Linked DNA regions of Cricetulus griseus. The protein of the gene in region 1 purifies or fractionates together with the protein of each later gene. This does not show direct contact. Links are inferred from orthologs where the notes say so. Each region holds a gene or a part of one and is shown on either strand. Other genes may lie near its edges. The genes, in order: Plekho2 and Capzb.

Evidence for each region.
Region 2: the proteins of Plekho2 (region 1) and Capzb purify together in Homo sapiens (affinity purification with mass spectrometry; 3 studies listed by BioGRID and IntAct, counting the BioPlex papers as one, with this or other methods). This does not show direct contact. The link is inferred for Cricetulus griseus from reciprocal best matches to the Homo sapiens genes PLEKHO2 and CAPZB.

Annotation. Positions count from the first base shown.
Region 1 is NC_048597.1:177,186,121-177,190,707, reverse strand, and holds the start of Plekho2 (pleckstrin homology domain-containing family O member 2), read left to right. Parts: upstream 1-1,771; 5' UTR 1,772-1,897; coding exon 1,898-1,909; intron 1,910-4,587.
Region 2 is NC_048595.1:14,117,225-14,121,647, reverse strand, and holds the start of Capzb (F-actin-capping protein subunit beta), read left to right. Parts: upstream 1-1,576; 5' UTR 1,577-1,591; coding exon 1,592-1,696; intron 1,697-2,728; exon of another isoform or gene 2,729-2,743; coding exon of another isoform or gene 2,744-2,833; intron 2,834-4,423. UniProt on the Homo sapiens protein: F-actin-capping proteins bind in a Ca(2+)-independent manner to the fast growing ends of actin filaments (barbed end) thereby blocking the exchange of subunits at these ends.

The DNA.
Region 1 (4,587 bases):
TATGACACTGGGGTCCTGGCACATTGTTTTCTTCATCTTTCAAAAAATTTATTTATTTATTTATTTTTGGTTTTTTGAGACAGGGTTTCTCTGTGTAGTTTTGGAGCCTATCCTGGCACTCGCTCTGGATACCAGGCTGGCTTTGAACTCAGAGAGATCCGCCTGCCTCTGCCTCCCGAGTGCTGGAATTAAAGTCGAGCGCCACCAACGCCCCGGCAAAAAATTATTTTATTATTTTATGTGTATGAGTGTTTTACCTGCATGTCTGTGCACTACTTACATGCCTGGTGTCTGAAGAGGCCAGAAGAGGGCCTCAGATCCCCCTGGAGCTGGAATTACAGACAGTTGTGAGCCACTACGTGGGTGCTGAGAATCAAACGTGGGTCCTCTGGAAGAGCAGAAGTGCTCCTAACCAATAAGCTATCTTCCTAGCCATCTCCACCCTTAAGGTGTAAGAACCAGTCCCAGGAATGAGCGAGCAGTGTGCTCCACCCTCTTCCATGGAGAACTGAAAAGGACCCAGGAGCCTAAAGGCCAGCAGAGGGCAGTGAAAGAGAAGCTTGGTCAGCTGCTGTAGCTGACTGAGACTTTGGCAGCCAGAGTCAAAGGAGGTCACCATTGATCCATCCCACACGCACAAAATTCTGGGTGCTGTAGCATGGGCACACCTGACCTGGAAAGCTCGTGTGTGTGTGTGTGTGTGTGTGTGTGTGTGTGTGTGTGTGTGTGTGTGGTGCTTGAGGTTTGGATGTGGCAGTCATCCTCCAGGCCTGTTTCTCCAGTATAAAACGAAAGTGCATGATAGAATTAAAAGGCTTTCTCGTAGGTCTCTTCACCCCATTCTCCAGCAATGTGGTCAGATCAGGGCTGGATGGAGTAAAGGTAACTTGAGAACCAAAGAGAGGTTAAACGAGGGAGAGATGAGCACGGCAGTTTGGGGTTTCAGAGAGCCATAAAGGACAGGAATCCAGACTCCGATTCTGGTTATAAACCCCAAACTCATGGCCCGGCTCCACCCAGAAGTTTCATAGGCTAGAAACCATTGCTACTACTCAGACTTCGGGGAGGAAAGAAGAGGAAACAGCCAGGCGGTGGTGGTGCACGTCCTTAATCCCAGCACTTGGGAGGCAGAGATAGATGTATCTCTGTGAGTTCGAGGCCAGCCTGGTCTACAGAGTGAGCTCCAGGCCAGCCGACTATTAGACAGAGAAACTGTCTCGAACGAAAAAAAACAAAACAAAACAAAAAACCCGGAAAGAGTAGGAACCTCTTTGTGCACTCATTTCTGAACTGTCCTGGCAGCTGGATCCATTCCCGCAACCCAGGCCCACTGGGTTAGACAACCTCAAAGGCATCAAGCACCCACCGCCTCCAAGGCTTGCTCTGCCAACCGCGCCCCCGCCACGCCTTCGCCCTGCCCCACCCCGCCCGCATCCCCCTCGCCTCTGCCTCTGGGCCGGAAGCCCCCTCCCCCTCCGTATCCCCCATCTCTCCAGTCGGTACCCCCCCAGGCTCTCTTTCTGCTTGGGTCCGGGAAACCTCTCCCCGCCCTCTTCCTGCTACTTCAGCTCCGCCCGGGTTCTTCCGTCCATTCCCGGAGCTCAAGACCAGCCCCTCCCAGTATCCTCCCCGGCCCCGCCCCTGCACCCCCCACCGGGCCACGCTCCTCATTGCGCAGCGGGCGGGGGCTGGGGGCCGCTGCACTCCTCCCCCCGCCCCCGGCCCCGGAAGCCCCTCCCCGGCCCCGGCCCCGCCCCCCGAAGTTTCTTGGGCCCCAGGCAGCCGGCGGGACAGAAGACAGCGAGCCGCCGCCCGGCTGCACATAGATGGAGCAAGTGAAGCCCGCGCGGCGCGGGCAGCAGTAAACGGCTGAACGGCCGGACCTCACAGACTCGCCATGGAAGAGGAGGTGAGGGCTGGGCCAGACGAAGCAGGGTGCTGGACTGGGGTCCTGCCCGCCCTACTTCGACCGGTCTCTGCACACTCTTTCCCTTCCCTTCTTTCAGGCAGAGCCTGGACCGATGGGGGATAGCCGGGGTGGAGGTCTAGTCCTGCACCTCGACAACAGCATCCTCGGTTATGTTTTGAGCTTTTCTCACCAACTGGAAACGGTGCCTGTCATGATTCCCATTGGATTGGCGGGGAGACTGAGGCTCTGTAGAGTTGGGTGACTTACTGAAAGTAGTTGGGTTGCTGTGACTGAATCCCGTTACACCCTTTCTTGGCTTTTCTTGCCTGCCATGGCCAGATCTACTCCTGAGAGGTCAGATTGCTTATGTATGCTAGGGGAGGGACGTTCTTCGGGGTTCTGGGCCACTGTCTCAAGGAACGAGACTGTAATGGAACCTGGTGGCAGGACCGAAGAAATTGCTTTTGTCTTTCTTGTGTAAATCTCTCAAGAGTCCCCACTGCTTTTGCCCTTTTCTTTTCAAAAGATGCCTTTTGAAGATGTTAGTTGAAGGGCCAGGTCGGCTAACTTTCCCAGAAGCAAAGTCTAGATCAGCAACATCCCTTGAGCCTCCTCTGCCCTCTGTTCTTGCAGGTTTCCCATTATCCAAGGGTCCAGGATACAGCCGCTACCTACTGCATGCTCATGAAATTATTAAAAAGCAGACTTTCTTATCCTTTGAAGGGTGGGGAAGAAAGATGAATCTTTTCCCCCTGGAGCCACCCTGGCCGACTGGGATGCCTTCAGTGAGCTCAGCTGCCTGTGTTCCTGTCAGTGTCCACTTGCGTATTTCCTGGAGCAGCAAGGCTCTGTTCCCTCTAGGCTAGACCCTGAGTTTGTGTGGGATGGTAGATAAGTCACTTCCCCTCTTAGTTTGTGTTTCCTCTTCTATAAAACATAGGGCCTAGCCTCCTCCCCTAGACCTAACAGTATGATTGTGGTCCCTGAACTCAGAGTGGGTACAGGTAGGGGGCAAAGTCAGGCCACTATGGTTTGCTGTGGTTTCTCTTGCTGTCACGGGTGGGGCTGCTGCCTGCCCCTCCGGTTCCCCTCCTGTAATGGCTGTGCTCTCTGCCCAAGGTCCCTCCCGTGTTCCCAGAGGATGTGGGTCAGGATTACTCCATCTCCTGATCTGCTCTGGTCCCCAGTTAAAGGAAGTTCTCCTGGGGCTTCCTGGGCTCAGCACAACCCTATGCTCCCTGTGATCCATAATCGCTAACATTGCTACTTTCTAACTCCCAGATACCAAAACCTCCTGACATACCTGGGTCATTAAAGTCTTGCCTATGTTACTTCCTCGGTGTAACCCCCAGGTCTTATCCACAGAGTCAAGGGGCTCTCTGTGCCTGTTTTCTCTTTGGTACCCCTAACTCTTGTTGCTTCCTACTTAATAGTGTTCACTTGTTTCCCTATGCCTCGGTGTTCATCCTTCTCTTAAATGCCTCTTAAATATGGTCACTCACTCAGCCCCTGACCTCATGCCACCTTTTCACCTCACTTTCACATCGCTGCTTTCTGCCCTTATGCTTTGCACTTCCTGGGTCCCAGGCACCCTGGGGACAAGCCTCCCTTGGCCTCTGTGTAGGATGTAGGATAGTGGTCCCTGTTAGGCTGAGGTTTGGAGAAGTGCTGGTTTGGGCTCTAGTATCTGTCTGTGTTTTCTGGTCCTCATTTTCCTAATTGTAAAATAATAAGGGAAGGGAAATCCAGAAATTTGATAATGTATATACAAAAACTTTGAAAACCAAAGATATCAATGGAGGTGTTGTTACTGTCCCTGGAGTAAGTTTGGAAACCTTATCTCTAGGCCTCCCTGGTTCTGCTCCATTGCCTTCCCAAAATCATGCCTTTCCCTGGCTCCAGGCTGTACACTTGCCCTGACTCTCATTGAGACAGGCATGGCAGTGCCCTGTCGAAGCACTGGTTTTATGACACTGGGCTAACCTCTTGTTCTTTCTGCTGTCCCTTTTCTGTAGTAAAAGGAATGAGAATGTTGTCTTTTTAATTTTTTTTATATGTATGTGTGTTTTGCGTGCAAACCTGTCTGTGAACCATTTGAATGCTTGGTGCTTGTGGAGGCTAGAAGAGGACTTCAGATATCCTGGAACTAGAGTTAAAGATGTTTGTGAGCAGGGGCTGGAGAAATGGCTCAGTGGTTAAGGGCACTGACTGGCTGCTCTTCCAGAGGTCCTGAGTTCAATTCCCAACAACCACATGGTGGCTCACAACAATCCGTAATGAGAACTGGTGCCCTCTTCTGGTATGGATGAAAACAAAGCATCCATATAGAAAACAAAAACAAAAACAAAAAACATCTGTCTTAGTCTCTTGCTGTGAAGAGACACTATGACAAAAGCAACTTACAAAATAAAGCTTTTTTTTTTTTTTTTTTTTTTTAAAAAAAAAAGATGTTTGTGAGCTGCCATGTAGGTGCCAGAAATCGAACCCAGGACCTCTGGAAGAGCAACCAGTGCTCTTAACTATGAACCAGCTCTCCAGAGCCACGAGAATGTAAATAAAGTCTCTGATGCCTTTTTCCCTTTACTTCCCCACATCCATCTGCCTTCTAAAAGGACTTCATACCAATCCCAGGCCCAGGCCCTCGCCCCAACAGAAGGATAGGATGGGGAAATCCCCCA
Region 2 (4,423 bases), on another chromosome or scaffold:
ACAAGAGGCTCACAGTCTTTTTTTTTGGAGGGAGGTCATAGTTTGCAGCTGTTCTTGAAGCTTTCTGCTAACACAATTCAGAATGGCCACTGGCCTCTTTGCTGTCTACGAATACATGGGGGGGGTGTCTCTGCCCTTGGGGCTGTGTGTACACTCCACTCCCATCTTTTGCTGCCTTGGACCATCCTCCCAAATGCCACCACACAGTGCTTAGCTACCTCTGCTTACCTCCTCCATCCACTCTGATGCTTTTTCTTAACTCACCTCCTGACAGCATTCAAGCTCAGCAGCGCCTTAACTCAGGGCAGGTGTACATATCCAGCTTGCAGGAGGCTCCATCTCCTGAAGCGAAATTTCACCTACAAACTCTAGGCTAGCATGAGATATTTTGCCCATAGCTGCAATCTCCATAGTCTGCATAATGCTTGGCCAATTGTTACACAATAAATACTTATGGAGTGATGACTTTCTAAGTGCCACTCCCTTCTCTGACCTCCTGTAATACTGGTCTACTGCCACTCTTGAGGGACTTAACCATTCACTGGCTGTTCCTGAAGGCTCTCACTTGTTTATGAGCTCAGAGGCCTCGGGCATAATCTTTCAGGGATGAAATTTACTGATCCCCACTCCCACCTACGACCTGATTTGATTTTAAATAGAAGGTGAGCAAGTCTGGTAGGTAGGTATTATGAGCAAGATTTGCAGTCTAGATTAACTCAACAAAGCATTTTGAAAAGTGCATTTCTAGGGCTGCGACTTCAGTTCAGTGTAAGAACATCAGCGTAGCAAGTATGAGGCTCTAGTTCAATCTTCAGTTGTGAAAACAAAGAGGGATTCCTGAGTCACTGGATGGAGCGAGGAAAAGACTCATTTGGCAAAAAGGCTGATTCTCTGCAGGTAATGTAGAAAAGTATATCTAACAGCCAGCATTTATTGAACCCAAATGTTCTATCTTTGTACCCGCGTCTTCCTCACGACCACCCTGTCTGGTAGCCAGGAAGTGCGGGCAGGGATCCTTCAGGCTTATTCTCCTGTCATCTTCTGGTACCTAAAGGCTGCCTCCCCGGTCGTGATAGCGGGTGTTCAGCCACAGGGGCGGCAGCGCCGGCGTCCCAGTGCAGGCTCCGCTAGCGCTCTAGGGGCTGGGCCCCATTCTGGCGCACCAGTTCCGGGTCCGGGTGGGGCGCGGAGGGCCGGTCCCCTCCTAGTTCAGGGCCTTCCGCATCCTCCGCCCAGGGGGGCCAGTGAACCGCTCCACCCTCAGGTACCCCGTGTCCTCCAGATGCTAGATGGCGAAGTGGGCAGCAGGAGGGTGCCACGGCCGCCTAGGTCCCTCCGGTACGCGCGAGCCCCGGGCTTACGGAACCAACGCGCCTGGCCCGCGTAGGGCCCGCCCTCCCCCATGAGAACACGCCCACTCGACCACAGGACCCACCCCCGTCCCCGCCCCCCGCGCAGAGCTCCATACTTGGCGATCGCCGCGGCCCCGCTCGCTCATTGGCCGCGAGCTGGCGGCGTGGGGGGGGTGGCTGGCGGGGAAGGAAGGTGGCGGCGGCCGGCGCGGGTGGGGGGGAGGGGGGCGCGGACCCGGATGTTCACTCTTGGGCACCCGGGGGAAGTGGAAGCGCCGGGCCCTGCTGCGGGGGGGAGAGCTACAGACGCCGGGACAGGGACCGTCGCCGCCGCCGCCACCATGGTAAAGGGACCCCCTCCACGGCCCCATCCCGGGACCCCCCTCGGGAGCTCCCGTCTCCTACCCCGCGGACCCGCCGGCTCGGGGAGGGTGGGACCCGGGGTGGGGGAGGGGTGGGGTCCGGGACCCTGGGCAGACGCCACCCCTCAGGTCCGGAGGGGTCGGCGGGAGGCTCGGGTGGTGCGTGACCCCGCCCTGGGCTCCATGTGGAGCCGGGTTCTTTCCCCGGCATGTCCAGGCTAGTCTCGAGGATCCCAGGCTAGACCTTCCTTCCCCTAGAGGCCGGGCCAGGCACCCCTCTCTCAGGCCCGCATCCCACGGCCTGAGCTAGGCTTCCCTACCTCGGCCCCAGGGCCCAGGCTAGGATGGTGCTTCTCGCTGCTGCGACCTATGCTAGGCCCCCTCCACTCAAACTCTTCTCTCCATGGCCCCAGCCTGGACCCCGACGACCCCTTTCTAGTGGCCTTAGCCTACGTTTGTTTCCTTCACCCCCATGGAATCTTCTGTCCGTGGTCCTCAAGTCTGGACTCTACTCCTGCTGTGCCCTCCACCTGCACCTCCTTGGCCCTGGCCCTAGCGATCCCCTTCCCCCAGACTTCTCACGACTTGGCTTAGTCTGCGTCAGCCCGCCGTTCTCATCCTCACCCTCCCATCTAGACTCTGCTTGCTTGGTGTCCTGCTCCCGACCTAGGTGTCTCCTCCCCTGTTCCTAGGACGCTCCTTCTTGGCAGTCCCTGGCAAGCGGGGGAGAGCCCCAGCCGGGGTGGGGGTGGTCCGGGTACTGTGCTTTCCTATACTTGAGACTTGCCCCTTTGGGGAGGCTGCTTCGCTTCGGAATGAGCGAGCGAGCAAGAGGCATAAGGGCGGCATCTGTGTGCCCGGAAGGCAGACCAGGGCATTTCCCGTGGCCGCCCTGCCTGAGAGGGGAGCAGAGTGCTGACGGTGACGAAGCCGAGTGGACAGGGATGAACGCATAATCGCTCTTGTGAGGTCGCGGCATGGGGGCTGGGGGGACACCAAGCTCAGAGACCAACATATGGCCTGGATACGATGCACCCTAGCAGGCGAAGCCTCCCTTTCCCCCTGAACTGTCAGCTTGTAAGGGTTGGAACTTCTGATTATGGAGGTGTCTCGGAACAGGTGAGCAAAACTCGCAGGCTGAGACTTCCCTCTGGTTGAACCCTGGTGTGTGTTTTGGTAATGAAGGCAGGCACACTGTGTGAGCAGCTTATTTGAGGAGCCTTAGGGGTGTCCCCCCATAACCCTGCCCCCCATCCACTTGGACACCTTCTGCAGAGCAGGTCCAGCACCTAGATGGAAGGGCCTCAAATGGTCAAGGAAGCTTGAAAAGTGGACAGTTAAGGCCATCCACCTGCTGCATGCCTCACAGCCTTGTGGTCGGCTCCCCTCCTGCTGATGATAGATGTTTGGGAGTGGACTTTGAGCTCTAGATGTTTTGAGGAACCCTGTTCCTTGTTTAATCAAGGGTGTAGCAACTGAATTAGGGTGCCTAATTCTGGTTGGCTAATAAACTTTCTATATATTGATTTAAAATGTAGGCAAGACTGTCTGTCATACTATTGTTCTTTGAAAACTGGCCTGGGGGTCTGGACTGTGGCCTTAGTCCGCATGGGGAAGGACTTGTCTAGGACAGTTTTGGGTGAGACTTTTAAAAGTCAACTGAAGTTTTCTATGTGTGCTCCGGGAGCCAAAGCCAGAGATAGTGGTGGAGTGGAGTGGAGTGGCCAGAGTCCTCTATGCTTCCCCTGTCACCATCTTCTGACAGGTGAAGAGAGGCTGGGGCATTCATTGCATCTCATTCAGAGCATTGCTCAGTTTGTGGATGGACCACTCTTGGCCAGTGGAAGCAGTGGCTTGGCGGGCTCCAGACAGTGATCTTCCTGGTAGGCTGTTGTATGTCTGATATAATGACATTGTTTAAGAAACGTAATGACCGGATGCTCAAACATGGCAAGGGCGGGCAGAGTACTTATTCCTGCAGACTGGGTGTGGATATTCCTGGTAACCGGAAATGTCATCTTGATACAGTAGTATGGTCTGCCTGGACCTGATCCTGAGCTCTTTGGGGACTGAGATTTTGGTCTGGTGTTTTTGGCCTCTGTCTGTCTGGGTTCTAGAGCAGAACCTAAGACTGAAAGATACAGCATGGAAGGCTGACACCTGTAATCAGCTGTTAAGGCGTCCAGGGCCAGCTTGGGTAACACAGTGAGAGTGAGACCCTGAGTTTCAAAAAAGAAACAAGAGATTGCTTAGGGTGTCTATGAGCTTTAGCCACTTGAGGTTTGGTGCTCATTCACTCAGCAGCTTGTTTTTCGTGTCCCCCAGGCCTCTAAGTAATTTCTGACTGCCTGTTGTCAAATCCGTACCATGCTTGAATGATCTGATGCCCTGGTGTGGGCAGTTGGATCAGTTGGCAGAGTGGAGCTATATTATAGGTAATGAACACCATGGTTTTGTTTTCAGTGGGCTTGGTGGCAGAACAAACAACTCTAGCTCCAACTTATCTGCTGAGGGAAAGAGAAGCCTGAGTTTTTTTTTTTTCTTGAGTCTGGTTCACTGTCCCTGTTAAGAATGCTTAGGCAAATGCATTCCCTTTGCAGGCAGTCTTACCACCGTCCCTAAGTGCTTTGCAATTTCAAAGCACTTTGCCTATCAGAGCTCTGGCTTCTAATTTAGGGTTATTATTCTGAGTGTTAAGACGCTGTTGCT